Linked DNA regions of Ovis aries. The protein of the gene in region 2 interacts with the protein of the main gene of each other region in a biochemical or structural test. Links are inferred from orthologs where the notes say so. Each region holds a gene or a part of one and is shown on either strand. Other genes may lie near its edges.

What was found.
Region 1: the proteins of HDAC3 (region 2) and NR2C1 form a complex in vitro, tested with the Homo sapiens proteins (4 studies listed by BioGRID). The link is inferred for Ovis aries from reciprocal best matches to the Homo sapiens genes HDAC3 and NR2C1.

The regions. Positions count from the first base shown.
Region 1 is NC_056056.1:131,265,765-131,271,829, reverse strand, and holds the start of NR2C1 (nuclear receptor subfamily 2 group C member 1), read left to right. Parts: upstream 1-2,023; 5' UTR 2,024-2,277; intron 2,278-6,065. UniProt on the Homo sapiens protein: Orphan nuclear receptor. Binds the IR7 element in the promoter of its own gene in an autoregulatory negative feedback mechanism. Primarily repressor of a broad range of genes.
Region 2 is NC_056058.1:50,382,940-50,388,821, forward strand, and holds the start of HDAC3 (histone deacetylase 3), read right to left. Parts: upstream 3,731-5,882; 5' UTR 3,677-3,730; coding exon 3,622-3,676; intron 3,515-3,621; coding exon 3,432-3,514; intron 2,121-3,431; coding exon 1,978-2,120; intron 1-1,977. Other genes in the region: RELL2 (RELT-like protein 2), read left to right, coding at 5,140-5,323, 5,734-5,799. UniProt on the Homo sapiens protein: Histone deacetylase that catalyzes the deacetylation of lysine residues on the N-terminal part of the core histones (H2A, H2B, H3 and H4), and some other non-histone substrates.

The sequences.
Region 1 (6,065 bases), on a different chromosome or scaffold from region 2:
TTAAATTAATTCAAATGATCTCGTACTCTTTTTTGAATGCCTCTAAAACACAAATATTCTGGAGCCTATGCCATTTCTAATGTTATTTTCTAATGGGAATTTTCTAGTTGGATTTTTTTGTTAAGATGTTAAAGTCTCAATATCAAATTCCCCCGTTTTTGAGGGGGTGGTTAGGACCAATGGTGGCAACTTTCTTTTACATGAGTTCATCATAGCATGTTAAGAACCAATCTTGAAATACTATTTTTTCAAATGACATAAATTTACAGAAACACTTACTTTAAAAATGATGTTTGTATCTTATTGTCCATATAGAGATATAGATCCTTTATAAATAAAATATTAGCAGTGTAAATAATGTTATGTATTTATACAAAATAAATTTACTGAATCTACTTTCAGTGTGATGATGTCTTTTAAATCATTTTTTATAGTCATGCAGTTAGAGATGAACCACACTGATCTGTTTTCCTGAATCATAGTTAGGGGAAGCTCTTTTTCACCAACAAAACATATTCCCCGTTTGGATGGTTTCTACATCGAAATGCTACTGTGACCTAAGCAAATTAATTGGCCATAAAGGGGATGACCCCAAGCATCACTGTGGGTGTGCATATTGGGCACTGAGAATAGAGAAACGGTCTCAGATTTCCTTTCTCCATTGGACCTATAGGTAATATACTTTCTTAGCTTTCATCTTTGGGACAGATGTAAGGAGTGGATCCCAGTTTGGGTGGATGGAGTAGCTGTTGTTCAGCTGCTAAATCATGTCCAACTCTCTGGGATTGGATGGACTACAGCACGCTGGGCTCCCATCCTTCACTATCTCCCTGAGTTTGCTCAGTTCATGTCCATTGAGTCAATAATGCCATCCAACCATCTCATCCTCTGCTGGCCTTTCTCCTTTTGCCTTTAGTCTTTCCCAGCATCAGGGTCTGTTCCAAAGAATCGGCTCTTCACATCAAGTGGTCAAAGAACTGCAGCTTCAGCTTTAGCATCAGTCCCTCCAATGAACATTTCAGGGTTGATTTCCTTTAGGACTCGACTTCAAGGATGGATGGAGGAGGGGTGATTTAAAACCACTAATTACACAACAAATGATACTAGAAGGAAGAGGGTGACTTCTAGAGAATTCGACATAAAGAGTGTTTTCACTTGTTAGGGGTTGTTGCATGCCCCTTTTGTTGCCCAGATGCCTAGTTCCAGGGGGAAATGACAGAGGAGATTTTCTCCTTATCAGTGCACCTTGTTTTTCCTGACTTGGGTTTCTGGCCTGAATGCGTGACTGCTTTTCTAGGGCAAATCAAAACTAAGACATTAAAAAATAAATAAGACCTTTTGAGGACCCCTGCAAGACCAAACCACACAGCACTCTGCAAACATGGCGGCTCTTGCTACCACATCTTGGTGCTTCAGGGGCCACTATCAGAATGGGATGTTCTGTCAACACTTTATTTCACAAATCTGTATTTACCATTAGGCACTGTCCCATAAGCTTGGGAATACACCAGTGAACAAAACAGACTAAAGCCAGTCTTCTGAAAGTTTTCATTCTATGTGATTCTACTCTGGCTCCATTTAGCTACTATGTTATTTACTCACAAAAGTTGATCAGTAAAACTTAGCCTTACTCAACAGGGCTATACTCCAGCTTATTTAAGGGAATTTGAAATATTTTATTGGGATCTATCCAGTTTTGTTAAGTGTTCTAATAAACCATTTAGTCTAAGGCAAGAGCCTGTGACAAAGCCCAGTTTCCCACAAATTAGAGACCGAACTGTCTAAAACTGATTAGGTCATCTATCTTGGCTCCAATCTGAACAGTCTCAAAATTTCCTTTAAGGATCGCCTTTTGCAAACAGGATGCTAAGCGCACGTGTCTTCTCCAAGTCCCAGATAAGGGAAGCGCAGCTATGCCGGAGCAGTCTCCCTCCTACGCGATAGGGGGCAGTCGACTTCCAGAGACTGGGTTCTCTCAACCCTCCACCCGGGGAACGTCACGACCGCCTCTCGCCGCCTCTCCACTCCACTGGTGCGCAGGCGCGGACGGGAGCGCGCACCGAGCCGCTGAGGGAGGGGGTCAGGAACTCTGACCCCCCCCCGCCCCCAAATACACAAACCCAGAAAGCTCCGTCTCCACTTTTTTAACCCTCCCCGCTCCAGCTTTTTCCAGTCTGTTTGCCTGGAGGCCCCCTACCCCATCCCGTCCCAGCAGCCGCCGCACAGGGCTGCCCGGTTTACGCCCAGCGTAGGACGCCACTCGGCAGAGAAGCGCCGGTAAGAAGGGACGGGTGAGGAGAAAAGCGGCCGCAGCGGCGCCCGGGAGGAAGGCGGGGGGCCCTGGGAAGGTCCCTTCCTCCCAACTGCCAACGGGCGCGCCCCCAGGCCCCTCAGCAGCCTGAGGCTTCGGCCGGCAGAACCCGCTCTTCGGCATCCGCGGCGCGCTACTCGGGGCGGGCTGGGAGAGCGGCCGGAGCAGCGGGGCCGAGTGCGCGGGGCTCCGAGAAAGGCCGAGGCGGGAGCCGGAGCCGGGAGCGGTGTCCAGAGCCCGGAGCGGGGCCGTGTCGGTGGGCTCACGAGGGAGTCGGCGAGCGGCTCGGCGCGCACGGCAGCTTCTCCCGCGGCACCTCTGACCTTTCACCTACAGGGAACGCTTCCGTCTTGGCGCGGGCGCCGCTTCCCCAGCCTCCGGGAGCCGCGCTCTGCCGCCGGGCCCGGGGTCGGAGTGGGCTCTAGCGCCTGCGGAACGTGGGAGAGGCCGGCCTGGCGGCGAGCCGAGGCCCGGATCCCTTTTACCACGAGCCTCTGACTTGTTTCTGTGTTTTTACTGGATCGACGGAATGACGCTCTCTACTTCACAGCCGATGGCGCGGGAGCGGCCGCTGCCTTTGGATCTCTCTCTTTAGAGAAAGAAAAGGCAACGGCCGAATGTCCTCACTGCAGTGCGCGTCCAAGCTTCCTGCATCTCTTTTGTTAAGAAAGTCTGCTTCCAGCTCTTGCAGATACCGTTTTATGAATGGCAAATGTTGCCAGGTTGTTTTGTAACCTTCGCTATATAGGTCAACTGTTAAAAAATAATTGCTGGAAAGGAAAAACAAAGAGGCTTGAAATTAAGGCCTTTAGGGTTTTTGTGCCTCGGAACTTAATGGACCTTCGACTTTGAGGGTTTTAGAACAATGCCTGCTGTGTGGTTGGTTTTAGATTTTAATTGTATGTCAGTTGGGTAGATGTACAATAAAGAAGGTATTTGTGTTTATTTTTAAAATGGATCGCAGAAAATGTAATTTCATCATTCTTTGTAGGAGCATTTCAGCTTTTTTAAAGGAGATCAAAGGCAGAAAACATTCCCAAAATATGTACTCTTTGTGTGTGCTACACAATATAATTCCTACTATTGTTGGAGAGAAGAAAGGAAAGAAATCGTATATAAGAAAGGATTAATAGTTTATATAATCATGTACCTTTTTTGAGTCATAGAACCCTCTGCAACCTTTTTAAATCTTTTATGAAAGCCATAGACTGTCTCTAGAAAAATGCACCCTTGCATAAAATTTTGTAAGTAAATAGAAGTTTCACAACTGAGTTTTAAAGATGGGAGAATTTAAATGAGGGAGGAGGAGCTTGGAGTTGTACATTGGGGAATAAAGAACATTCCAGTTTGTCCTGAAGGAGTCCCCTCTGGGACTGGTGAGATGAAATAGGAAGATGGGGAAGTCAAACTATAAAGGAATGCTCCTTTGTGTCTGCAGTGGCAGGCGTGTTTATAAGGACTTAGTAAATACTGAAAAACTACCAGGAGAAGGACTGAAACTTTATTCTTTGACCGTTAAAGAGGCACTGATACTTATGAAACAGGAGAATAAGGATGTGTTTCAGTTCTGTAAGCATCCTGAGATTTTGCTGTTGGTCAGAAGAGCTGACACAGATGATTCTTGCCTTCTAGGGGTTTTTCATAGACGCAAAGTTGAATATATTAAATATTCATCCAGGAAAGTTATTTCTGCCAGTTGCTGAAATTATACTGAAAGGATTCTTAACCTGAAGACCTTGGGCTGGCCATAGGAGAGTTTACGAACTCCTTGAAATTCAGCATAGCATATATCATCAGTTGTAGAGTGAATGAATGTGAACCTGTTTTCTTGTGAGGGAAGCCTTAACTTCTATCAGATTTTCTTTTATTTTTTATTTTTGGTTGCGCTGGGACTTTGTTGCTGCACCTTGCTTTTTCTAGTCGCAGTGCCCAGGCTTCTCACTGAAGTGTTTTCTTGTTGCGGAGTGTGGGCTGTAGTGTGAGCTCAGTAGTTGCAGCACACGAACTCAGTAGTTGTAGTTAATGGACTTAGTTACTTCATGATGTGTGGAATAGTCCCAGACCAGGAATCAAATCCATGTTCCCTGCATTAGCAGGTGGATTCCTATCCACTGTACCACCAGGGAAGTCCCAGATTTTCAAATCTATGTTTGACCCACCCTACCAGGAAAAAAAAAAATTGTTTTGCATCATATTTTCAAGCATTTTTTGACTGCTACACAAAAAAAAGGTTTTCCATCATGACTTAACACAGATTAAACTGAAATAAGTCCTTACCCTCACTATACTTGATGCAGCATTTTCTATTCTAATTTCTTTCTTTTTTAAAAGAAGAAAATTTTGACCTACTATATTTCCCCATCCACAAGTGGCTCACAGCAAGGAGTTTGCAAAATACTACTTTGTAACAAGAGCCTACAGTTGGTTGATGGGAGTAGGGCTGGTGGAGAAAGAAAATGGACTGTTCATGATGTACTCAAAGAGCACAGACTTAAAATTGTGAACCTGAATGGAAGGAGGATGACACCACTGTTGTTGTTCAGTAAATAAATCATTTCTGACTCTTGCAACCCCATGGACTGCAGCATGCCAGGCTTCCCTGTCCTTCACTATATCCTGGTGTTTAGATTTATCTCCATTGATTCATTGGTGGTATCTAACCATCTCATCCTTTGCTCTACCCTCTTCTCCTTTTGCCTTCAGTCTTTCCCAGCATCAGGGTATTTTCCAGTGAGTCGGCTCCTCGCATCAGGTGGCCAAAGTGTTGCAGCTTCAGCATCAGTCTTTCAGGTGAATATTCAGGGTTGATGTCCTTTAGGATTGACTGATTTGATCTTGCTGTCCAAGGGACTCTCAAGAGTCTTCTCCAGCAGCACTTTGGAAAGCATCAATTCTTTGATGCTCTGCTTTCTTTTGGTCCAACTATCACATCTGCCCATGACTACTGGAAAAACCATAGCTTTCATGGATCACAGCCTTGTCATGGTGAAAGGGCTTGCTTGCATAACTCAATAAAGCTATGAACCGTGCCATGAAGGGCCACCCAAGACAAATGGGACATAGTGGAGAGTTCTGACGAAACATGGTCCACTGGAGGAGGGAATGACAAACCACTGCAGTATTCTTGCTATGAGAGCCCCATGAACAAATTCAAATGGCATCACTGAGGGTATATTTTTTCCTGTGGGGAAGATACATAGACATGAGATTGAGGTAAATGTGAAAAAAGAAGAATCAGAGGCAAAAATCTAAGACTGTATGTCTTCTGTATCTTAATTAGCTCTAGAGTAGTAAAGGCAGCATCCTCCTGTTTTTTTGCTTTGTCCCTGAGGTTGGTAAAAACGTTTATCCTTCAGTGCCTGTTTCAAATGTCTCTTCTGTAAGATTTTCCCCAGACCCTCCGACTCCGGTGTGATGGTTCTCCTGACCTGTTGCTCATTTATTGAGCACTTTGTTATTCAGCTGTCAGGGAAAACATTTTACCTGTAAGAGACCATTGTACACCGATACATATGTGTGTGTGTGTGTGTGTGTGTGTGTGTGTGTGTGTGTGTGTGTGTGTGTGTGTATAGATGTTGATATATTGGCAAATAGATGGGTGAAAAGTGGAAACAGTGTCAAATTTTTTTTCTCGGGTTCCAGAATCACTGAAGATGGTGACTACACCCACAAAATTAAAAGATGCTTGCTCCTTGGAAGAAAAGCCATGGCAAACGTAGACGGCATATTAAAGAGCAGAGATATCACTTTGCCG
Region 2 (5,882 bases):
CAAAACTAGCAGGAGCAATAACACAAAAAACAAGAAAGCTCCCAAGACAGCATGTGCCTGAACAACCCAACAAGCAGGGCAGTGTGTGCGGGACAGACCTCTGGGGCTGGTGTGGTCAAGAAAGCCTTCATGGCATGAAGCTTTGTGGTGGCTTGAAGGCTGAGAAGGCCCTGGAGAGGCTGACTGGAGAACAAAGGGTATTCTGAGAAGACACCCTGTGCAGCAGAGATGTGGGGATAAGGTTGGGAAGGTGCTCAATGCCAACCTAAGGAGTCGACCTCAATCCTCCAGCCGAGGCTGCTTCTATTGGAAGGCTCTTCAGGGAAACCAATTGGTGTAGTGTTTAAAAACCTAGCCTCTGGACCTGAATCCTGCCACTGCCACTGTTCAGGCTAAGTTATCAAAATCTCCTCAAATTTCAATGTATGTACTTAATGCTTACCATCATGAAAAGGACTATTACATCTCAGGGTTGGTGTAAGAATTAAGTGGATATACCAGTAATCCTCAGCACAGCAGAGTAAATTACTCAAGAAACTGTAGCTGTTGTAGGAAACTATAGGATCAACAGCCTCATTTCTTCAAAAGATAAATTCAAGGAATTCCCTGGCAATCTAATGGTTAGGACTCCATGTTTTCACTGCTGGGGGCCTGGGTTCAATCCCTGGTCAGGGAACTAAGATCCTTCAAGCCAAGGCATGGCAAAAATAAATAAATAAATTCAAGGGCGAGAAGGAAACATTAAGGGTTAAAAGTCTTATGAGATGGAGTGTGGACCTTGTTTAAATCCTAATTTAAATAAATCAACTGAAAAAAAGAAAAAAATGTGAGACAATTGGAGAAATTTAAGTACTGACTGCATATTTGATGATATGAATTACTGTTGATTTTTCAGGTGTGATGAATACTATGCATTTTTTTTAAAGAGTATCATTTGGAGATATATAGTAACATATTTATAAACAAAAGGGAGTGACATCTCAAATTAGCTTTAAAATAACCTAACGTGCGGGGACACAGATGAAGCAAGATTAGCCATCTGGTCTAAGTGCTGCAGCTGGGTGATGGATAGACGGGGGTTCACTGTATTTCTACTTGCAGAAATGTTTAAAATTTTCTCTAATAAATATAAAGTTTAAAAATGAATGGAGCAGATGGCAGCTGTTGTGGTCACTATCTTTTAGTGGATGCAGACTAGAATGGAAGCAAGGATCATGGCTATCTTTGTTGGCCACCTTTTCCCCACAAGACCTAACTCTGAGCTGACTTCTCATATGAAATAAGCTCGACATAAACGTGATTGTACCTAACACTCTCTTGCTTTTTAAAACCCTCCAATGACTTCTCCCTACTCTAGAAGTTAAAAATCCCAATTCATAATAGGGTTGTTTATTTTTTAAAGACCCTACCTATCTCTTTAGACACAATTCAGATCACTTTTCAGATATTGTGGGTGGCCTTTTTTCTGTTCCTTAAATAAGTCACACTCTGTCCTGATACAGACCCTTAGGGCATGTTGTCCCTACTTCCCATTCCTCCCCTCATTCTCCATCCTCCCAACTATCTTTCACCTAATTACATCCTACTTTCTTTCGAACTCAGCCCAATCTTCATTACTTCCTCTAGGAAGCCGCCATTGACCTGCCCCAGCCCAGGCTAGATAATTCTCCCATGTCTGCCCTCTCTTAGTCTGTCATGTACCTCTCTTCTAGAGGACTCAGCACAAGGGCTATATTAAAATTGTGTTGGTATTATTTATCATTATATCCCTAGCACTTAGCATAGGGCCTGGCCTAGAGCCAATAACCAATCAATATTTGTTGAATAAGCAAATTAGTAAATGATGATTCATTGACAAGTATCCCCCCGCCCCCCCACATATCTTCCCACTGCTGCCATAAGACCTCACTTGAGTATTCTCACTGAAATGCCTGGCATCAAGGTGCCTGGCATCAAAGGTCCCAGTTCTCCCCTTACCAGTCATCACCCACATTGAAGGCATTAAGGCTCTTGGTAAAGCCTTGCATATTGGTGGGGCTGACTCTCTGCAGGAAGTCAATGTAGTCCTCAGAGTGGAAGCGGCACATGTCATGCTGGGAGGCCTGGTAAGGCTTGAAGACCTTGAGAGGGAAACACAAGATAAAGTCAGGCAGGGTCAGTCCTACTCACCCGGCTGAAACTGACCACACTGAGCCCAGCACTGGGGACTGTCTAAAACCACACACAGCAGTCCCCTTGTCCCTCCTCTCCAATCCTTGTTATTCTATGAGACAAAGGTCCGTGAAAAAGAAAGACTCTGATTAGCTTGGGAGTTTCTTATGATCAAGCCCTCTAAAGACCACTGGGCCTGCCTTTTCCTTCATACCTCCAGCCCAGCCTTTTCTCCCTTCTCAAACCTTAACTCCCTTCACCTGCCCTGTTCCCTGGATCTCCTATTCCTGATTCTCTTCATACTCATTTCCCCTGGGTGCTGACTCTGTCCTCTCTCTCCTCTGAGTTCTTCTTAATTTTGAAATGAAATAATATGGGACACAAAACAACCTTCTAATTAAAACTCAAGATGCTAAGCCAGAGATTTATTATCTCTTGAGAGGGTCACACACTTTAGAAACTGGACAAGAGCAAAAAATTTTCTCTCCCCAGAAAATGCTCATAGGCACACATAGGCAAACAATTTCGAGAGTCAGAGATCCAGGCATTAACATCACCTCAGTCATTTCTATGATCAATTCACTAGTCTGTGTCTCAGCACAAGCAGTGGACACTCATTCATACTGCTGGCTAATCCCCTTTGCGATCCATAAGGGCCGTATGTTATGATCACATATCACACTGCTATAAATTCCAAGCCAGGGACAGACAGGATGTGTACACAGGGGGAGATGGAGGGATGAGTAGTAATTAAGTGGAACTCTGTGTGTGGGCGGGGGTATTCTAGATTGAAAAGGGAATATCCAGGACACCTCCTACTGTCCTCCACACACACATTTACACACAGGGCTGCAAAGTCCTCCCTAGAACTCTAGCTTGGCGGTGGAGAGGTGGAAGAGGAAAAGGGGTGGGAAATGAGGGTAAACCTCATATCCAGATACACTGGGCCAGCTGCTTTCCCTTCTCTGAGGCCACAGAACTGTCCTAAGATTCAAGGGAGGGAAATACTCTGCGTCTGCAAACCAGCTCCACTCCACCCTAACCGTAGGCCAAAGTTTGGTCCACTTAAGGTCAAAAGGTGGCCGACCTAAAAACTAACTTTCATTAAGTCAGTGGATGCATCCACCAACACTCTGCATATGGGGGTGCTCCTTGTTCCTTCTATCCACCTCCCCCCTGCCAGGGCTGGGTCACTCTTGATGCATTCAGTGCAGCCTACCTATCCCTAAGGCCGCAGCTCGTCCCCACCCTCAATCCCCAGGAGAAGCCGTGAGACTCACGATCATCTTCTTATAGAGGCCGTAGTGCAGGACCAGACTATGAGTCAATGCCAAGCGATGAGGCTTCATAGGGTGACCAGCCCCTGGGGGTGGGAGAAGAGAGTTCGTCAGTACCCATCCCTGGAGTTGTAGGCCCGGCTTCGAAACCTCCGCGTCCCGAAATCCCTCGCGTGCAATGTTGCTCTCTCACCGTAGTGGAAGTTGCCCACGTCGGGGTCGTAGAAATAGGCCACAGTCTTGGCCATGGTGCCGGCGGGACCAGGCCCCGCACCTCCGCCGCCAGCCTGGCCGCCTGCCCCACCCCCGGCCTTGCGTGCTGCGTAAGCACGCTGCCTGCCTCTGCAGAACCAGGAAACCCAAGCTCGACTCCCGTAGACCACGCCCAGGCCACGCCTCCTGCGGAGTTCTGCCCTCGGCTAGCTCCGCCCTTCTAGGTCTGGGGCGTGAGAGTCTGGGCTTGGCCGGAGGACAGTAGCATTGGTCCTAGGATGACAGGGCCATTTCCTTCCCGGCGGGGGTCAAATCCTCGGGAAGCCGAGCCATCCTGTCCAGCTACCTGTCCCAAGCGGGGCGCAGGCCGTGTCGCCTCTCTAGGAGGCTCCGGAGAACCGGCCACGCTGACCCTCTCAGGTGCAGAAAGCAAGCTTCCCCCGGCCCGCTGGGGAAGATTCCCAGCTACACATCCAGCCGGGGCATCTGAGGGCTGGAGCCAAGCCAGGCGTGCCCGATAGACCGGTGGAGAGCGCTCTCGCCTGACTGCCCGTCCTCCTCACCCGGACCCAGACTCGGCACCGCACCGTCACCGGGCGGCAGTGGGGGGGCTGCGCAGTCACGCGCGCACCACACTTGCGCTCAGAAGCGCGCAAGGCTCTCTCTCTCCGCCCCGCACACCTGGGCTCCGCCCCCTGGTCCCCGGCCGGCGATCGAAGGCTTTTGGAGACCCAGAGCGGCTGCGGCAGCGCCCCCCTTCTCCTTCCCTTTCCACGGCTGGAGTTGTCCGGAGCCTGTCGCCGGTCCCAACCAGCCCTCATCCCTTTCCATCCTTCCCTCCCCCCACCCCTGCCGCGGCACGGGTATCTGCAGCCGCAGCCCGGAGCCCTTGAGGCGGCGAAGGGGGGAGGGGAAGGAAGCAAGGGATGAGCGCCGGGAGGGCGTCGGGGGCCCTGAGCCGGACTAGGACGCCCCTGGAACCGGAGCCGGAGCCGGAGCCAGAACCAAACCACCGGTACCGGGTGGGCCAGGTGGTCAGGACGGGAGAACCCGAAAGGCGGGAGGGGGTGTGTGTGAGACAGTACAGGAAGGGGAAGGGGCTGCGGAGGCCTGACTCAGGCCCGCGCAGAAGAGATGTGGACGCTGACTCAGGCACTATCCTTGTGCCGGCCGCCTGAGAATTCCGTCCCATCTCGCTCTGCAGTGTCCTTGGGAGGGACGAAAGCTCAGGACAGGCTGGAAACGGGGAGCTCTGGGCGTCGGGGGAGCGGGACCAGGGTCGTGGAAGAGGGCCTGCGCAGCCGCCGTCTGACACCCCTGGCCCGGACCAGCACCCCTGGCACGGACAGCTCCTTGGTTGGGTAGGGGGTGGGGCCAGACCTCAGAGGCTTGTCTGTCTTGAATCCTGAGGACGGCATTCCTAACCCTCCCCCAATCCTTAGCTGCAGCCCCCTAACTCCAGGAGCCGCCCTGGCCCGTGCTCACCCGCCAGGGCCTCATGTCGGAACCACAGCCTGACCTGGAACCGCCCCAGCATGGGCTGTACATGCTCTTCCTGCTTGTGCTGGTCTTCTTCCTCATGGGCCTTGTAGGCTTCATGATCTGCCACGTGCTCAAGAAGAAGGGCTACCGCTGCCGCACCTCAAGGGGCTCGGAGCCTGATGACGCCCAGCTCCAGCCCCGTGAGTGAACAGCCTAAAACCTGGCTCAATCACCTTCCTCCTTCACCCTTCTCCCCACACCTCTTCCTGGCCAACAGACCCAGGCTAAATCCTGACCTAGCCAACAGACCCAGGCTAAATCCTGACCAAGATAGGAGGCCTAGTAATACTTTCTTGAGTCAGCAAGTGGGGTGCCACCACCCTGAAAGCAGGGCTAGAGAAGGCACCGTGGGTGGGAAGGGCCCACTGGTGGTAGTCCTGGACTCCCACTGATTTTCTCTTTTCTTCCCTGGCCCTTGAAATGCTAAGGTACAGAATGATGCAGTTTGGTAAAGGGGTGGGTCGAGCAATAAGCCATAGAAACCACCAGGTAACGTACCTTCAAAGTTGATCCATTTCCCACTGCCTCACCAACTTCTTTCATCCTTCAGCTGAGGACGATGACATGAATGAGGACACAGTAGAGAGAATTGTTCGCTGCATCATCCAAAATGAAGGTGGGTGTAGGCTGTCCCTTTGTCCCCCAGCTCCTCGACTTTCTCTTGCCCTTGCCTTTGCCTCCACTGACCCCTTCTTTTCC